Anolis sagrei: one gene and its partner. The protein of the gene in region 1 purifies or fractionates together with the protein of each later gene. This does not show direct contact. Links are inferred from orthologs where the notes say so. Each region holds a gene or a part of one and is shown on either strand. Other genes may lie near its edges.

Region 1 (3,751 bases):
TATAAATGCACCGCCCTCCACTTCTCGTTCTTCTGGGACTTATAGTGCGGAAAAGCGATACTTCAAACCCTGGCCGTCACACAGCAGCTCCCATTGTATGCCAGTTCCGACTGCCTCCTCTCAGCAATCTGAACATGAGGAACTTCCTGACTGTGAGAGCCGTTCAGCAGTGGAACTCTCTGCCCCGGAGTGTGGTAGAGGCTCCTTCTTTGGAGGTTTTTAAACAGAGGCTAGATGGCCATCTGTCAGGGGTGCTCTGAATGCAATATTCCTGCTTCTTGGCAGAATGGGGTTGGACTGGATGGCCCATGAGGTCTCTTCCAACTCTATGATTCTATGATTCTATCTCATTGGCCTTGGTCGCCTTCGGGATCCTTCAGGCTTTCATTGGCCAACCGCCCTGTCAATCCCATCGGGAAACTTCCGCCTCTAATTCTAAGTGGTTAGATTTCCTGTCACTCAATGGAGATAGACCCGCCCTTCGGACGTCGAGCGCCCTCACATTTTGTGCACGCCCTCCGTTTTCCTATAGGTATAGTTTGGAGGAAGAGCCGAATCGTGAATGGCTAATGTTGCTGTCACTCAAGCTGAAGCTTCACCCTAAAGTCCCGTGGTATCCCGTGATCCCCAGAAGGAAAGTCGATGGGCGGGTTTTTATTTAGTGCTTTTCTATTGGTCACTCGGCTTTGTCATTCACACCATAACTCCACCTGGTTTCGAGATGTACGCTTTTGATTGGCTAAGAGTGCAGTCAGTTAGTGTCAGAAGTGGGCGTTGGCTTGGGCCTCGGGACCAGCTGGTTGATACTTCCTCTTTCTGAGGTCTCGAGTTCATTGAGGAAGCGACGACTGGGAAGGATGGGGCGGCAGTGGAGCAGCCTGGGCCTATGGCTGGTCTCGGCGCTTGTGGCAGGTAAGGCTTCGGGAGTCTGCCTCGCTGAATGGCCCGCTGCCGGAGAGGAGGAGGTTGCTCCAAGGCATTCTGGGGCCTAGGCCACACGGAGGGCTCCCACCGGCCTTGGGACCCATGCGAGAGGAAGCAAACTTGGGGAGGTGTTTTCGAAGGACATTGGGAATTAATGAACTGTCAGGTGTTATCTTCCCCTGACTTGTCCGCAGGTAGTTAATGTAAGAGCTTTTGGATAGGAAAGAACTGCTTTCCCTCTCATTTCTCCATTTAATAATGATGATAATAATAACAACAATAATATCCCAGATGACAGCAGGATTGAAGAGAAACAACTGGAAAAGCTGATATGAGGATTTAAAGATCGAACTGCAAAGACTCTGGTACAAGCCAGTCAAGGTGGTGCCAGTGGTGATTGGCACACTGGGTGCAGTGCCTAAAGACCTTGGCCTGCACTTAAACACAATCAGTGCTGACAAGATTACCATCTGCCAGCTGCAGAAGGCCACGTTACTAGGATCTGCACACATTATTCGCCGATACATCACACAGTCCTAGATACTTAGGAAGTAGGAGCCCATGGTGGCGCAGTGGGTTAAACCCCTGTGCCGGCAGGACTGAAGACCAACAGGTTGCAGGTTCAAATCCGGGGAGAGGTGGATGAGCTCCCTCTATCAACTCCAGCTCCTCATGTGGGGACATGAGAGATGCCTCCCACAAGGATGATAAAAAGCACCAAATCATCCAGGCGTCCCCTGGGCAACGTCCTTACAGATGGCCAATTCTCTCACACCAGAAGCGACTTGCAGTTTCTCAAGTCGCTCCTGATACAACAAAAAACAAACAAACTTGGGAAGTGTCCGACATGTGATCCAATACAACAGCCAGCAGAGTGTCTGCTGTGGACTCATCAGGATGTGTTTCAAAATAATAATAATAATAATAATAATAATAATAACATTTTATTTATACCCCACCACCATCTCTCCAAGGGGACACGGCGGCTTACACGAGGCCAAGCCCAACAATACAGCAAATATACAACATAAGATGCAAACAGTAAAATACAATGAAAATAAAAACAAAAACAATATAAATGAACACACCAAACAATATAAAACCACAGTAATTGAGCAGGACGGATTAAAAGATTAAAACACTGGGTAAGCAGGCCATGTAATGTATCAAGACAGAGGAACAGAGGGACAAAAGTAAGGTTTAATTGCACTAGAAGATAGAGTAAAGTGCTTCTGAGGATATTTTATGCAGGGTTTGGTCAAGATCAAAGACTGAAGGCACACTGGAATAGCCAAGTTTTCAGACTCTTCCTAAAGACAGCCAGGGTGGGGGCTTGCCTAATTTCTCTGGGGAGTGAGTTCCAGTGCCAAGGGGCCACCACGTAGAAGGCCCTCTCCCTCGTCCTCACAAGTCGCACTTGCAATGAGGGCGGGAGTGAGAGAAGGGCCTCTCCGGAAGATCGAAGGGATCATGTAGGTTCGTAAAAGGAGATGCGGTCATTTCCAAAGAGCCTCCAGTAAACAAACCCTGATTGGAATGTCCAAGGTGTGCAACAGCAGATACTACCAAAGTCTTATGGCCACTTCACAACTTAATACAATTATATTACATGGCATGATATTTTATAGGGAGCACAATTAAGTTTTTACATAGGATTTTCTTTAGCTGGTGTCTGCAACCAACCTCATACACTCTAAAGACATTTCCCTCATATCTGTTAACTCTGCATTCATATTCTCTGTTCCTCTTCCAGTATAAGATGTTGCAAAGGATAGGTTAAGTTCCTGATCAGCCAAGTTGTTGCAAAAGTGGGATATATAGAAGTGTTAGTTCCTCAGGTAAACCCCCACCCACCCCAGGCAAAACAGCTACTGAAAGCTTGAATGCCTATTGAAATCCTACCCTTCCTTGTTCTTGTGTGTTTGTGTTTTTCCTCTGCCTTCACAGAGGCAACAATGCGGATACCTCTTCTAGTGGAAAATCAGAACTTAACAGTGTGGTAGAGTTGTTGAAGGCTTTCATGGCTGGAATCACTGTGTTGCTGTGAGTTTTCCAGGCTGTGTGGCCATGTTCCAGAAGCTTTCCCTCCTGATGTTTCACCCACATCTATGGCAGACATACTCAGAGGTTGTGGGGTCTGTTGGATACTAGGCAAGTGAGGTTTATGTATCTTTGGAATGTCCAAGATGGGAGAAAAAAACTTGTCTGTTTGAGGCAAGTGTGAATGTTGCAATTGGCCACCTTGCCTTGGATTTAATAGCCAAGCCGCTTCAAAGCCTGGCTGGTTGCTGCCTGGGGGGATCCTTTTTTGTGAGGTGTTAGCTGGCCCTGATGGCTCTGTCTGGAATTCTCCTGTTTTTTGCATGTGGACAATTTCAACAGAAAGGAGGAAACCATGAAATTGAACAAAATCTGGCTACCAGTATTATTATTTTTTTAAAAAACCTCTAAAATCAGGACAGTAAATAAAAAGCAACACTCAAAAACAGGGGAATTCCAGACAAGAATCAATCAGGGCCAGCTAACACCTCCCATCAAAGAAGTCCCCCAGGCTGCAACCAGCCAGGCTTTGGAGCTGCAAGGCCATTTGATGCTAATCATTGTGGCATTCACACTTGCCTCAAACAGAGAAGAGTTCTTTTTCCCACTCTGGACATGCCACAGATAGATAAACCTCACTTGCCTAGTTTCCAACAGACCTGACACCTCTGAGGATGCCTGCCATAGATGTGGGCGAAATGTTAGGAGAGAATGCTTCTGGAACATGGCCATACAGTCCGGAAAACTCACACCAACCCAGTGTGGAAGAGGTTTCTTCTTTTTTCCT
Region 2 (3,751 bases), on another chromosome or scaffold:
ACATTAATATTGAAATCTGAAATATATACCGAAAGTCTTGACACGACAAAAAAAATATTATCATAGAATCATAGAATCAAAGAGTTGGAAGAGACCTCATGGGCCAACCCCCTGCCAAGAAGCAGGAATATTGCATTCAAATCACCCCTGACAGATGGCCATCAAGCCTCTGTTTAAAAGCTTCCAAAGAAGGAGCCTCCATCACACTTCGGGGCAGAGAGTTCCACTGCTGAACGGCTCTCACAGTCAGGAAGTTCTTCCTCATGTTCAGATGGAATCTCTTCTCTTGTAGTTTGAAGCCTTTGTTCCTTGCCCTAGTCTCCAAGGAAGCAGAAAACAAGCTTGCTCCCTCCTCCCCGTGGCTTCCTCACATATTTATACATGGCTATCATATCCCCTCTCAGCCTTCTCTTCTTCAGGTTAAACATGCCCAGCTCCTTAAGCCGCTCCTCATAGGGCTTGTTCTCCAGATCCTTGATCATTTTAGTCACCCTCCTCTGGACACATTCCAGCTTGTCAATATCTCTCTTGAATTGTGGTGCCCAGAATTGGACACAATATTCCAGGTGTGGTCTAACCAAATAATATTATAATGTAATGCAATATAATACTAATCATAATAATAATATGATGGGCGTTCCACAGCTGAGGGGCCACTACTGAGAAGGCCCTGTCTTTCATCCCAGCGCCAGATGTACTTGTGACGCAGACGGGACCGAGAGCAGGGCCTCCCCAGGCGATCTTAACGTCCTAGTATCATATTATTATTATCATTAGTATTATATTGCATTACATTATAATATTAATATTATATGTATATAAATTATATTATATTATATTATATTATATTATATTATATTATATTATATTATTAGCATAGCACAGGAGACAAGGTGGAACTCTATGCACTCTTTACCTTCTTTTCCTTTCCTTTTCCCAGCAGTTCTTTCAAGGAAGTGAGGCTAAAGGACAAGGTCACCCACTGGGCTCCATGGCTGGAGAGAGACTTGAACCTTGGCCCAAGCAGTTAGTCATCCATGGCACTGGTTCTCAAGCTGTGGCCCTCCAGGTATTTTGGACTTCAACTCCCATAATCCCACGCCAGTGGCCACAATGGCTGAGGCTTCTGGGAGCTGAAGTCCAAACCTCTGGAGCACCAAAGGCCTCTGGAAGGCGAGGAACCTCCTACGAAGGAGAAGGAAATCATAGGCGATAGGAAGGAGGTTTCTATTGGCTGCGGCTGATCCTACTTCGCGTCCCTATTGGCTGCCTTTTGGAACCAATATCCTCCTCCCGTTCTGATTGGCTGTGACGCGCCGGGAGAGCAGGCGAAGGGAAGCAGCGGTGAAAGGAGCAGAGAGGGAAGAAAGATGGCGTTGCGGGTGTTTGCTGGGTTTTGGCTGTTCTTGCTTCTGGGCCTGGCGGCGGCGCAGACAGGACAGGTGCCCTTGCTGGCCTGGTCCAGCCACAGGTACGCGGGCCTCTGGACTACCTTGCAGGAATGAGACAGCAAAGGGCTGTCTGGAGTGCGTCTACACTGTAGAATTAACGCAGTTCGACACCGCTCCGTGCTGTGGGATGGTGGGAGTTGTCGTTTGGCGAGGCACTGAAGCCCTTCTCTCTGTACAGCATGCACTGGCTTGATTTTGGTGAAATGTTTACTTCATCTTGAATTAAATGGCGTTTTTCCATCATTGCTCCCAGGCCCCTTCTGCACTGCCATATAATCCAGATTATCAAAACAGATAATCCACATTATCTGCCTTGAACTTGATTATCTGAGTCTACACTGCCATATAATCCGGTTCAAAGCAAACAATTGGATTTTATATGTCAGTGTAGAAGGGGCCTCAGAGCTGAAGGGCAGCCCTTCTGGTTATGAAGGGCTATATTATTTACTAGCTGTCCCCTGCCACGCGTTGCTGTGACCCATTTTGTGTCTATGTGTTTTGTGTGTGTATATATGTGTGTGCAGTGGGTTAAACTGCTGAGCTGCTGAACTTCCTTACCAAATATTACAGGTTTGAATTCGGGAAGCAGGGTGAGCTCATGCTGTTAGCCCCAGCTTCTGTGAACTTGTATTGTCGAAGGCTTTCATGGCCGGAATCACTGGGTTGTTGTAGGTTTTTTCGGGCTGTATGGCCATGTTCTAGAGCAGGGGTCCTCAAACTAAGGCCCGGGGGCCAGATGCGGCCCTCCAAGGTCATTTACCCGGCTCTCGCTCAGGGTCAACCTAAGTCTGAAGCGACTTGAAAGCACATAACAACAACAACAATCCTATCTCATCAGCCAAAAGCAGGCCCACACTTCCCATTGAAATACTAATAGATTTATATTTGTTAACATTGTTCCTCATTTTAATTATTTTATTGTTTTTAAATGTTTTTTACATTACAAATAAGATATGTGCAGCGTGCACAGGAATTCATGTTTTATTTTTCAAATTATAATCCAGCCCTCCAACAGTTTGAGGGACTGTGACCTGGCCCTCTGCTTAAAAAGTTTGTGGACCCCTGGTCTAGAGGCATTCTCTCCTGATGTTTCGCCTGCATCTATGGCAAGCATCCTCAGAGGTAGTGAGGTCTGTTGGAACTAGGAAAAAGGGTTTATATATCTGTGGAATGACCAGGGTGAGACAAAGGACTCTTGTCTGCTGGAGCTAGGTGTGAATGTTTCAACTGACCACCTTGATTAGCATACAATGGGCTGACTGTGCCTGGAGCAACTTAGTTTGAAAACATGCAAATGTGAGTAGATCAGTAGGTACCACTCTGATGGGAAGGCAACAGCGCTCATGCTGGCCACATGACCTTGGAGGTGTCTACGGACCACGCCGGGTCTTCGGCTTGGAAATGAAGAGGAGCAGCACACCACAGAGTTTGACATGACTGGACTTAATGTCAGGGGAAAACCTTTACCTTATATATTTGTGGATATATGTGTATTTGCACATATGTGTGGTTTTGCACATGCATTTTGATGTTTTATATATATATTTGGCTTTTAAAGCCTTTTCTGCTGTGTTTTACAGTGTTTTTATGAGTGATGGTCACTCGTTGGCCTGATAGGTGTCAATTTTGTGTCAATTCGTCCAGTGGTTTTTGAGTTCTGTTAATCCCACAAACGAACATTACACTTTTATTTATATAGACTAGCCATCCCCTGCCACGCGTTGCTGTGGCCCAGTCTGGAAAATAAAGTAAAGTTTATATATCTGTGGAATGACCAGGGTGGGACAAAGGACTCTTGTCTGCTCTCACAACCACCATGTCAGACTACACAGAGAAGCCATTGAAATCCGCAAGCATGTGGACAATTTCAACAGAAAAGAGGAAACCATGAAAATGAACAAAATCTGGCTACCAGTATTAAAAAACTCTAAAATTACCACAGCAAAACAACAGAGAGTAAACAATCAGGCACATCTAATCACCTCTCAACAAAAGATTACCCCAGGCACTGCCAAGCCATCAAATGCTAATTAAGGTGGTCAGTTGAAACATTCACACCTAGCTCCAGCAGACAAGAGTCCTTTGTTCTATCCTGGTCATTCCACAGATCCATCTTATTAGGACGACTGACCACTGTAGTTTTATATTTAGTGTTTTTAAAGTTGTTTTGTAATTTGTGATATATGATATTTTAATGAATGTATATGTTTTTATGGCTCTCGATGAGGTTGAGAAGCTCGGTATACAAAACTGTGAAATAAAATAAACAAAAATAAATATATAAACTGATTTTCCTACTT

What was found. Proteins that work in one complex are often made in the same cells at the same time.
Region 2: the proteins of ATP6AP2 (region 1) and ATP6AP1 purify together in Homo sapiens (affinity purification with mass spectrometry; 5 studies listed by BioGRID and IntAct, counting the BioPlex papers as one, with this or other methods). This does not show direct contact. The link is inferred for Anolis sagrei from reciprocal best matches to the Homo sapiens genes ATP6AP2 and ATP6AP1.

Annotation. Positions count from the first base shown.
Region 1 is NC_090023.1:78,451,615-78,455,365, reverse strand, and holds the start of ATP6AP2 (renin receptor), read left to right. Parts: upstream 1-763; 5' UTR 764-857; coding exon 858-912; intron 913-3,751. UniProt on the Homo sapiens protein: Multifunctional protein which functions as a renin, prorenin cellular receptor and is involved in the assembly of the lysosomal proton-transporting V-type ATPase (V-ATPase) and the acidification of the endo-lysosomal system.
Region 2 is NC_090022.1:174,429,375-174,433,125, reverse strand, and holds the start of ATP6AP1 (V-type proton ATPase subunit S1), read left to right. Parts: upstream 1-1,307; 5' UTR 1,308-1,370; coding exon 1,371-1,471; intron 1,472-3,751. UniProt on the Homo sapiens protein: Accessory subunit of the proton-transporting vacuolar (V)-ATPase protein pump, which is required for luminal acidification of secretory vesicles.